Oryzias latipes: one gene and its partners. Each later gene encodes a partner of the first gene's protein in a complex. Links are inferred from orthologs where the notes say so. Each region holds a gene or a part of one and is shown on either strand. Other genes may lie near its edges.

Evidence for each region.
Region 2: smarcd1 (region 1) and actb share a complex: the UniProt entries of both Homo sapiens proteins name them as parts of the BAF complex. The link is inferred for Oryzias latipes from reciprocal best matches to the Homo sapiens genes SMARCD1 and ACTB.
Region 3: smarcd1 (region 1) and arid2 share a complex: the UniProt entries of both Homo sapiens proteins name them as parts of the SWI/SNF-B (PBAF) chromatin remodeling complex. The link is inferred for Oryzias latipes from reciprocal best matches to the Homo sapiens genes SMARCD1 and ARID2.

Annotation. Positions count from the first base shown.
Region 1 is NC_019863.2:13,904,035-13,907,785, forward strand, and holds the start of smarcd1 (SWI/SNF-related matrix-associated actin-dependent regulator of chromatin subfamily D member 1), read right to left. Parts: upstream 2,878-3,751; 5' UTR 2,842-2,877; coding exon 2,659-2,841; intron 1-2,658. UniProt on the Homo sapiens protein: Involved in transcriptional activation and repression of select genes by chromatin remodeling (alteration of DNA-nucleosome topology).
Region 2 is NC_019866.2:19,166,895-19,170,645, reverse strand, and holds the start of actb (actin, cytoplasmic 1), read right to left. Parts: upstream 2,571-3,751; 5' UTR 2,502-2,570; intron 1,366-2,501; 5' UTR 1,359-1,365; coding exon 1,236-1,358; intron 1,144-1,235; coding exon 904-1,143; intron 577-903; coding exon 138-576; intron 67-137; coding exon 1-66. UniProt on the Homo sapiens protein: Actin is a highly conserved protein that polymerizes to produce filaments that form cross-linked networks in the cytoplasm of cells.
Region 3 is NC_019881.2:3,973,975-3,977,725, reverse strand, and holds the start of arid2 (AT-rich interactive domain-containing protein 2), read right to left. Parts: upstream 2,237-3,751; 5' UTR 2,064-2,236; intron 1,925-2,063; 5' UTR 1,827-1,924; coding exon 1,735-1,826; intron 1,614-1,734; coding exon 1,520-1,613; intron 606-1,519; coding exon 508-605; intron 1-507. UniProt on the Homo sapiens protein: Involved in transcriptional activation and repression of select genes by chromatin remodeling (alteration of DNA-nucleosome topology). Required for the stability of the SWI/SNF chromatin remodeling complex SWI/SNF-B (PBAF).

The DNA of each region.
Region 1 (3,751 bases):
CCTCATTTGCATTTCACTGTGGTTTAATTTAAATAAGAGTCAACATAACTAAAATTATTTTCCACATGAAACTAGTCTTCATGGGAGGCGAGCTTCTAACAAAAAGGCTTCATCCATAAATAGATTTATTTGATTTGCTAAATAATTACAAGCTGTCATAAGATTGTTTTAGCACATTTAAAGTAACAATTTATTGCGATTTTCGCTGTCTTTTGCTATATGCGGATTGCACAGCTTGATATCGCGATAACGAGAAATTTGCCATTTATCGTGAAGGCCTAGATGGAACAGTCAACAGTATCCTTTAGTGGGATTGGTCTTTAAATCACAAAAATAAACAACTGTAGCCAAATCACTGCCTTAGTGAAAAACATTTTTTCATCGAAAGTCTTTTAGATAAACAGACTTCAACATAAACCCACTAGGGTTCAATCCAAATTCTTCCCCTACCCCTCCAGCTTCTCTCTTTCCCTCCAATTGTAGGGGCATTTGGGGGTAGGGGTGTTAGTTTTTGGAATGGAAAACCTTCACTGCGCGGAGGGATACGGAGCCCTCCAACGCAAAGGTGTTCCGCATGTTCTGTGCCGCAAAAGAGAAACGTATCTCTGCAAGTGGGTGTGCCTTGAAGCACAGAAGTTTACACGTAAATGTAAGTAAATACTTTTTGTTTTAGCATGGCTTTTTAATGTTCTAAAACCCACGTTATTTACTTCTGATCGCCACCCGCTAACGTGGCTGACCGACGACGATTGATGACCTCATCGAGTCAGAGTGACGTCTAAATGACTATTTTTATATGACACTCCATTTGGAGGGCTAACTGTAGGTGTAGGGAGAAGTAGAAGTGGGGGAAGAACTTGGATTTGGTCTAGGTATTGTAAATATGAAGTCTGAACATCTAGGACACTTTTAAAACCCTAAAAGAACTGCAGAAATGTAAACTCTTTCTCTTAGTCTGTTTCAACACAACAAACATCTTTAGCATTAATGTTAAACTTCTTGAAAACGGTGACAAAGGTTGCTGCGTACACTACTCCACACTAAAATTTGAATCACCAAACTAGCTAGCTGTACTTCCACGTTCCATTTTAATTTATGTTAGCCCGCCACTAACAGCTCACTTCCCTCATCATTTTTCACTGCCATGTTACTTTCCCCTCAAGTTCCACAATTTGTTTCCACCAAAACATCCCCGCCTAATAGAACTGGACTAAGTGACCCCCCACCCCCACCCCGGATGTCAAATAGGAAGTACCTGCTCGAACGTGTGTAAACCCCGCCTCTAATGATTGAAATGTTTAATTGACAGACTCTCCTGAGCCTGCTTTCAGTGGCAGAGATGTGGACTAAGATAAAAGCTTAATCCTGATTGGCGACAGGAGTTGCCATAGAAGCGTCGACTCCTACAGACGCAGGCTCATCACCGTTTACTTAGGTGGTCTGGCTCCAACATGGGGATGAGTGTACTGCAGATCTAACAGCGACTGATGGATTCATTTTGCTGGAGCTGAAAGTAAGGCGTTTTTTTTTTCTTTCTACGGGTGACGTCAGACTCGCTCAGTCCAGTTCTCTTATACAGACAATGACATCACCACCCACCTTTCCATCAATTAAGAATCAAACGATCTTGATAGATTTATAAATAAGATACTTCTCCATTCCCTGCTAGTTTATAAAAATAAAACATTTTTTGAAGTTTTTCAAGGTTAAGATCTTCAATTTCTAAAAATATTTATCATGCCCTCAAGTAAATTCTGAGTTTACCTCATTTGTAATTGGTTAAAAGTATGAAGACTCCTCTCAAAATTGGGTGCATGTCTTTATTTTAAAAAAATTAATTCAGGTTGGTAGGTAGGTGGGTGGACTTTTAAGTTTACCATGCCCCCCCCCCCCCCCCCTTTTTAAGTTTAACAACTGCAATGTATGAGTAAACTATGTTGCGTGTACTTTAATAGCAAAACATTACCAAGCGTTGTATTATTAACAAGTAGAAGTTCTCGACGGCGGAGTTACACCTAAAACCTGACCAAAAACTCAATGGTTCCGTTAAGTAGAAGTCAAATCAAATGCCAATTTTTAAACGTCAGCAAAGAGAGACGCGACAAATACAAGCGGGTTTTCGGAAATTACCTTTCAGCAAATTTGAATTTAGACTCACATGACGGTAGCAGCCAGATGTTTTCGCAGAGTACGGTTCCTGAGAGGCGGACTTTTTACTTTCAGATTTCCCAGAGGAAATCAATGGATCCCGTCAAAACGAGACGTATTCATAAAAGTTGATAGATTTAATCAATCTGTATATGCCAGTTAACTCCACACAATCAGTAACTAGAGAACTACGACGAGCGTAACACAGTAACTAGTTACTAGTTAGCGTTAGCAGGCGAGGTAGCACAGTTTCATGTAAGCTAACCTTCTGTTAGCGAGCGGGAGGTTTAGCAAATTCAAACATGATAAACTCATAAAAGTCCGCCAGAGCGCTCGAAAAAAATATTTATTAAAAGTCGATTACTTTTAATGGGTTTCTTAAGTTCTATTGAACTGGGCCTGTAGGGGGACGGGGGTTAATGTTAGCCATTGGCGACAAAGCAGCGATGAGTGGCTTTGTTCTACTAGCGGACCGGCTAGCATTGACGCAAAGATGGAGTGATAACTCACCGGGTACCCAGGCCCAGGCATTGGAGATCGGTACATGTGGTTCTGACCAGCCGAAGATGGACCCATTCTTCCAGTGGGAGTCCCGGGTCCCATGCCTGGTCCAGCACCGGGTACAGGTTGTCCAGGTCCAACAGCTCCACCACCACCAGTCGGTGCAGACTGAAACCCCCCTCTGGACGCCATCTCCTCACTAGATGTCGCCTCCGGTGGAGCAAAGGAACTAACGCGAGAGCAACTGAGGCGTTCACTTTGCGATAGCGCCCTCTACTGTTCTCTTTTGACACTGCACGATTGCCCACATTAAGAGACAAAGGATAATTGTGGGGTATGAAGGCGTAATATAGGCTATTTCTTAAAAAAAACATTTAGTATGTTCCTTTATAATATTTTAGTATTTTTCGTGAAGTTTTTTTGTTTTGTTTTTCGTGCTATTTTTTTTAAATACAAGAGCAAAAAACAACAAACAGGCTGGGCAGCTACTCATGAAAACTACAAGAAAAACTATAAAAGTATAGTTCATGTAGTTTAAAATATGTATTAATATATATCAATATATACATGTATATGTATTAATATTATTCATATATAGTTTAAAATATATATTAAAAACACGAAAAAATCTGTCTGGTCTGTAGAAAATAAAACAATTAAAATAAAAAAAGAAAGAACATTTTAATTAGCTGGAGTAATACAGTCCTGACAAGTCCTAACAACCAGCATTCAATTTACATGATTATATGCACAAGAATAAAGTCAACGGGTAGGCCAACCATATTGGAGTAATTTAGGACGCTATTAAATTGTCTTCTTTCTTTTCATGTGAATTCACTAATCTGTTCTATTGCCTTCTATATGTCTTTCATTTATCAAAACAGAATACATTGTTTTTCAATTTTCTCTTATCGAACAAAATAAAACTTAGAGCAAAACAAAATGCCCCAAAACATTATTAACTTTTAAAGAACACATTTAAAAATAAAAGTTTTCATTTTAATTTAGGCTACAGTACAAAATCAATTGGTTCAACAGTGGATTGCTGATATTTTTCATTTTTCATAATATATGACTGTTTTGCAAATGAGAAAATCATTTG
Region 2 (3,751 bases), on another chromosome or scaffold:
GGATATCAACATCACACTTCATGATGCTGTTGTAGGTGGTCTCATGGATACCGCAGGACTCCATACCTGGAAGGAGATTAAATATTAGCATGGGGCACTCTGGGGTCTGTACACAAGTCTTTGGTTGAGGTACCTACCAAGGAAGGAAGGCTGGAAGAGGGCCTCTGGGCAACGGAACCTCTCATTGCCAATGGTGATGACCTGTCCGTCAGGCAGCTCATAGCTCTTCTCCAGGGAGGAAGAGGAGGCAGCGGTGCCCATCTCCTGCTCGAAGTCCAGGGCGACGTAGCACAGCTTCTCCTTGATGTCACGGACAATTTCCCTCTCGGCTGTGGTGGTGAAGGAGTAGCCACGCTCCGTCAGGATCTTCATGAGGTAGTCTGTAAGGTCGCGGCCGGCCAAGTCCAGACGCAGGATGGCGTGGGGCAGAGCGTAGCCCTCGTAGATGGGCACTGTGTGGGTCACACCATCACCAGAGTCCATGACGATACCAGTGGTACGACCAGAGGCATACAGGGACAGCACAGCCTGGATGGCAACGTACATGGCAGGGCTGTTGAAGGTCTCAAACATGATCTGCAGAGACAAAAAGCACAATGTTAGCATGTTACAAAGCAGCAATGCGACCACTCCACTCGCTACATGCATTAAAGTGGGGCTCGATCTATAGTTAGTACATGGTAAACATTCCTTCACACTTGTGCATGTCATTTTTAGGTGCTGATCTGTTACTCTAAGCCTCAAAACACAAGTGCAGATACAAGGCAAACTGTCAATAGACCTTTTGATGAAAGCTCATCTTATAGGAAGAAATCCTAGAAGAGGAGGATGGAGGAAGTATGAACAGAAGGAAACCAAGGTGAAAAGAGTATACATGTGCTCCACTGTGAGGTAAACGGGTACCTGGGTCATCTTCTCCCTGTTGGCTTTGGGGTTCAGGGGGGCTTCAGTGAGCAGGACAGGGTGCTCCTCAGGGGCAATTCTCAGCTCATTGTAGAAGGTGTGGTGCCAGATCTTCTCCATGTCATCCCAGTTGGTAACAATACCGTGCTCAATGGGATACTTCAGGGTCAGGATACCCCTCTTGCTCTGGGCTTCATCACCTACGTAGCTGTCTTTCTGGCCCATACCCACCATGACACCCTGAAAAAAAGTTTAAATTTACATTTAGTAAATCTGGAAACTTTTAAAATTAAATAGTAAAAAATTATAAAGGTAAACAGTTAGGAACTAACCTGGTGCCTGGGGCGACCAACGATGGAGGGAAAGACAGCACGAGGGGCATCGTCTCCAGCGAATCCGGCTTTGCACATGCCAGATCCGTTGTCAACAACCAGTGCGGCAATGTCATCATCCATGGCTAAACTGGAAAACAAACAAATAAGGCGTTAACACCAAAGACACGCCCATCTGCATCTGCTTTGCAGTCAGATGTCCCATTTCCTGTCAGGGAGCGGCAGTTCCCCAAAGTGTCCGCTTGGTGGAGGTAGAGCGCTACATTCCGAGCCCAGACAAAAGGAAGTGGTGCTGCATTCTCTTGTTACCATATAAGGACATAGTTCGGTTTTGAGCAGCTTTGCGGCTACCGGCAAGGCACGCGGCCAAAGTACAGCAAGAGGGGAGGGACTTTAGACTATCGGACCCGGCGACGAAAGCCTACTCCCACTGGTTCATTACAGCTCTACTTTGTCAGCGTTCCCTCCCATTGTTGCACAAGACTGAAAAATTTCTTAATCACTGCGTCATAATTTGTGCGAAGTCGTTGCTGGCATAAAGCACCACGACCCGTCAAGCTTTAGAAGGAAATTAAAACGTGTGCGAGCCCATGACTGATTAATCATTTCCTGAAAGCCACGCCTTTTCTTGAATGAATGATTTGTCATTTGCCCTTTTCTTCGCCGTCAAACTACAGTTACATGCTCAATTTAATCGAATACTTTTAAAATGCTTTAAGGGTTATTACATTTTATACAAACAAATGTATAACAGTCCCACCCCCCTACATGTGAGGAATCAGAGTCAAGTCTAGAAGGGCGTGTTAGCATGAAGCTAGGCTAATATGCTAAAGTAGGTCACACCCCGTAACGGCGCACAAAGGGACCCGCCAGGATCCAGACACCCTCAACTCGGACGGGTAACGTCCGTAGAAGGACTCGAAAAATTCCCCCCACCATGTAAGATACGAATAGTAATTTTTATTTAGTTGCTTATATAAAATATACAATTAAAACCAAACTGAAAAGCCATTTGCCGGTTACAATCAATTGGCACCTGTGCGTTTAAGTGGCTAATTTTGGTACAACTTGATTGATGCCAAAACAAACAAAATTGTCAATTTTAAAAAGATAATTAAAAGTTTAACCATTTCAGGCCTAAAAATAAATTTAGTGGCCACAAAATTCTGCTAATGGTCACCTCCAATTAAGAATTAAACTGCACAATTAAACAATCGTAAGGTTTCCAAAACATTTGAATTAAACCAAATATCGTCTCTATCTTACCTTTGGGTGGGGGGCTTTTCGTTTCAAGGGAATCGGTTTCAGGCGAATGATATCCCGCACAAGCTGTGTGTGACGGCGCTCAGAGTGAATTTGCTAGCCGTGGGCACGTGGTATTTATAGTCCGTCCGTTGCCCGGCTCTTTCCATAAAAGGTAAACTTTCGGAATCGCGGCATGTGATTGGTCCAGCGTCACTCACTGGGGCACGTCGGGTGCACGCTGTGGTGCACTGAGCGTAGAAAGAGGGAGGCGATAACAGTAACGGGCTGGGGGAAAATAAAAGGATAGGGATTGATGTGAGGCCTAATCTAAGGATATAATGTTTCTTGAACAAATATTAATACATATAGAGTTTACAAAGTTTCAAATATATATAAAATATGAACCTGTATAAAGCTTTCGAGCAAGTCCCCCTGCTTATCTGATCATTCAAACAGCAGAGCACAGGCTGCTCCTCCCTGTGAATACTTTTCCTCTTAAAACCTGTCTCTCAAGATTTCAGTCTGGAAATGCAAGATATGTTTGATGCAATTTGAGGACAATTACAATGTGGATGTTGCTGCACACTCTGGAAAGCAGAATGCCACCTCAGATGGAGTCAGAGACCCTCCAAGCCAAACACATGACTCACAAAAGACACTATGGACTGTAAAAGTGCCCTGTCAGAGGATGGACAATAACCACTTTTCCCACTAAGCAATGGTAAAAACTCAATCTCACTAATACCAATTGACCATGTATGGCATTAGTCTGGATTCTTGTTAACTTCTCAGAGCTCTTGCTACTTCCTCTTTCCCCTACAAATGAAGAAAAAAGGTCCACATAAGAGGACACTAAGGCTGACTTGCATCTACTTTTAGTCATAAATGACCTATTGAGTGAAAATAACCACTGTCAGACCCAACCCATACGCTACTATACATTCACCTTAATCGATTAAACTCAGAGAGAGACAAATAAAGTCACACATGCTCTTATTTCCTCTCTGTGGTTTACTGCAAAGGGTGTAACTTTCCTGACTTTGGGTTTTATAGGCTTAGGGTTCTTTGCTTTTACCTTACTTGTCTTCCATTCATTAGTTTCACAGTTTATTTAAACTTTTTTTGCTCCAGAAACATAGCTGCCCATACAAGTTAAATAACCCAGAGGCCATTTAAACATGTCACTGTCTGCGAGACACAAGCAGCAACTACTTTTCTTCCTCTTGTACCACTTCCTCTTCCTCGCTCTCAGTTACACCAATTCTTTTATG
Region 3 (3,751 bases), on another chromosome or scaffold:
GTGGACCTTCTGCAGGACGGATACCTTCATCTAAACAGACCGTTTACGCCATAAAAATGTCTGAAATTAACTTTGTCCTCCTTGCAACTCATTCCATAGATGAGCAACTAAGACACTGGCTAATTGCTGGAGTCATTACACTTTTCAGGCCTTAAAAGTAAAGTTGAAAAACTTCACGGGCAACTGACCTGAACTAAAGGAGAAACTCCAGAATTTAAAGCAAAGGTGAATCTTGATGATGCAAGATCTAACAAGTACCAGAGAGGATGAATAGCTTCAACCAGGTAAAGGTGGTTAAAAACAAAAAAAAGGTGGGGAGCAAACAGCACAGATCTTCTGCTGAGGTCCCGATGATCCATCTTCACCGGGAGCCCCTCAGGCTGCAGCCTGTAACGCGGCACTGAGCCCCGGAGCACCTGCTCCGCGCCGACAGCAGCTTCCATATGTAAACAGTCGCCACATGCTACCTGAGCGGAACCTCAACCGGGAGCCGCGCGACCGACTCACCGCAGGTAGTACTGCCTCAGCGCGAACGCGGCGTTCGAGCAGCTCCTCGGGAAGTTGAAGTCCTCGGCGAGTTCGACCCATTGGTTTTTATCGGAGACCTGAAAATACATGGAAAATATATTTAAAATTAAAATAAAAAACACACACACCTTAAAAAAAAGAGCGGTTACACTGAAACCATCCGGTCTGCCACAGGTCCCCCCTCCCTAATTAGCCAATATTGGAAATCGATAACTTTCTCAAAACTATCAGGAAACACAACAAAGCTGAAAAAGGCCCTTATTTTAAAATATTTAACCCGTGTTTGTGTACAAATCTGAAACAAAATCAAGTTAAAGTGCATAACTCAGCAGCTACACCGTTACAGTTTAAGCTAGTTAGCCTGTTAGCTTGCTAGCTAACTTTTTTTCCCCCACACTGACGTTAAAACGTCACCGAGTCAAACTTCCACAAACTGTGTCCGTCCGCGCGACCGGGAGCGCTCGCTGCGCCTGCCCCCCACCCCCCGCGCAGCGAGCGACCCCGCCGTTGACGGTGTTCCCCCACACGGGCCTGTGAGGCCTACATTTGGCGTTCAAGCCACGAAGCCGAAGAAAGATGGCCATGGCGAAGAGAGAGGAGATGGGGGGGAAGAAGGGGAAAAAAAAAATGTCAAGCTTCCTCCCCCCGGGCCGAAAACTGTCGGTGACAGCGCGAGGCGGCACGCCGCGTGCCGCGCCGGGCTTCCCGAGGCCGGACCCCGCGCCGATAATCGATGGTGAACGTGCCCGCTCATTTTTGAGCGGCTCCAAGTCAGCGCACTCCGACTTCCGAGCGGACGGACTCTCGATTCAAACAACACAAGCCATGGAGATGCATGGCAAAACTAGCACAAGGCCAACGCCGTCCCCGCTTGCCGTCTCCCTTAGGGGGGGTCCCGCTTGTTGTCCCGGCTGGTCCGCTTGGGGTTCCGGAGCGGTCCGGCGGAGACTCGGCACACAAATCACACTTTTGCCCGTTTGCTCGCACTCACCTTCGCGAATCCACCTAACGAGACCACTCTGATGTAGAGCGCGTTCAGGTCCAGCTCTTTCCCACCCACGACGGGGATCTTCTTGAACGCCGACCTGCGTGGAAAACACAAGAAACGCGAGCACGCGTGTGTTTAAATGACACTTTTAGGCCAACTCTCCGGCAAGTGCAGCGGACGGTCAAAGTTGGGTTTTGTCAGTCGCCCGAATCTCTCACCCTCTGCTCTGGTGAAATTGCCGCAGCTCGTCCAGGAAAGCCTGTCCTTTTCTCCGCTGATCTAGTAGATTTTTCCCCGTCGAATTTGCCATGGTTCCTGCATGCGAAAACGGTCAAAGCCCACGCGAGTCGCTTCCTAAGACACCAAGGATCCCATACTCCGCCGGCGCTCAGTCATTCGCCAAGCTGACTGTTTAAAAAAGTTAAAGAAATAGCTGATAGCAAGGAGAGCGGCAGCTCGCTAATAAAGACTGATGCACAGCAGAGCAAAAGCCCGATACAAGCCCGGACTAACTTCCAGCGAACAGTTACAAATACGACCGATTTACCGGTAGATTAGAAACGCCATGACTGGAGGTGTAGAATTAATGCTTTTGGTCGCGTCTGTGTTCGTTTGGAGTGGTTTGACAGTGTGTTACGGACGCAGCGCCGAGGCTAGCGCACACACTGTAAGAGCGGCAGAGGGATCCAGTTCTAAGACAAAAAGATGAGAAGGCCGCGGAGCCCGGCCTACCATGCGCGCAGCGCCCTCTGCGGCCAGCGGCGGTACTGCGAGCAGCGCGCTCGCGGCCGGAGCGCAGCCTGGAACAATAGAGACTGTTTTCTTTTTTAGGGACCGTCTCACAAATGCACTCCCCCGGTTGGAAAACGGGTCAGAAGGTTCTCAGAAATCTCCCGTGGGGGGAGGGTATAAACGTTTATGAACACAACTCCACACCGGGCGTGCATTGGTTGGCGTATTATTAGCAAATAAGGCAAACATCATCATATTTTTTCTTTTACCTGATTTGTTAAAATGGAAAACTTTAACGTTATGTTTAAAAAGTTAAAACGATGTCAAACAATGATTTTCAAGCATTTAATTTGCGAAAATAATTATAAAAATGTTTATAATAATTTTTCCACAATGTTTTAAATTAATACAGTCAAATTATAAAATTGTCATGCTATGTAAAAGTTTCTGCGCATAACTAATATGCATGTAGAGCTCCCCTTTTTAAAAATCTTGCCTGCAAACAGTACATAATAAAATACATTTTTTCGTGCTTTTTAAATGTTTTTATTGTGAAACAAACTGCAGCTCGCGGGTTTTCGGCGCGCGGGCTACTCCGCCACCATCCCTTGCTGCCCACTTCGCAACGGCTTTTCTGTGACGGGGTGGCAGCAAATTACACCTGATCCCTTTTCCCTGTAACTGCCAAGCGGATATCTTCTTCTTGATGGGGTTACATTCAACCATTACACGTACCCCTTTGCTCGATGAAAAACCTGTCACAAAATGGCGGAGACGTACGTTTGCAGACCCCATTTTGTCAGAAATGACAGCAGACAGCGGAAAAACCGTGCGTGTATTTTCGCGTCGCTCTCTATTTCGGACTGTTTTCGCCACAAAAGCGGCGGTGCTCCGGAGGTCACCGCAGCCTGTTTGGACTCCCCACCCGTCAACCGAATTCTGGGCTAACCTATCGCTCTAGCTTGTTAGCTTAGTCATCGCTAGCATAAAAACAAAATATCTACACATCTCATCTTCTCACTTTTATGTTTATCCGACCAATCATCCATGGAGACTTCACGGGGACTATTGTCTTTGCGCTTTCGCTAACAAAGATGGTTTTGAAAAATAAACTCTTTAAAGTTTAGAAGCTAGCTGTGCTGCTTAACAGTCGGGACATTTTTGCTAATGCTGCTAGCTAGTTTACTTCCCACTTTTGTCGATTTGCTGCTTTTAAAGGCATCTAAATCAATCCCATCGCCTTCATATCATCAATATATATCAATTAATGGGCTTTTTCTAAATTTTATTTTCTAAATAATGTGACGAGTGACTTTAGTAAAGGCATGCTAGCTTTTTTAGCTAGGATGCTAGCCTTACTCTTCGATATTTAAAGCTCTTTTTAATTTAGATCATGTCTTCCCTAATAATTGAATGTAGGGTGATTCCTACAGTCGATTCAATAGTTTGTTAATTTTTTAATGTGTATATATATATATATATATATATATATATATATATATA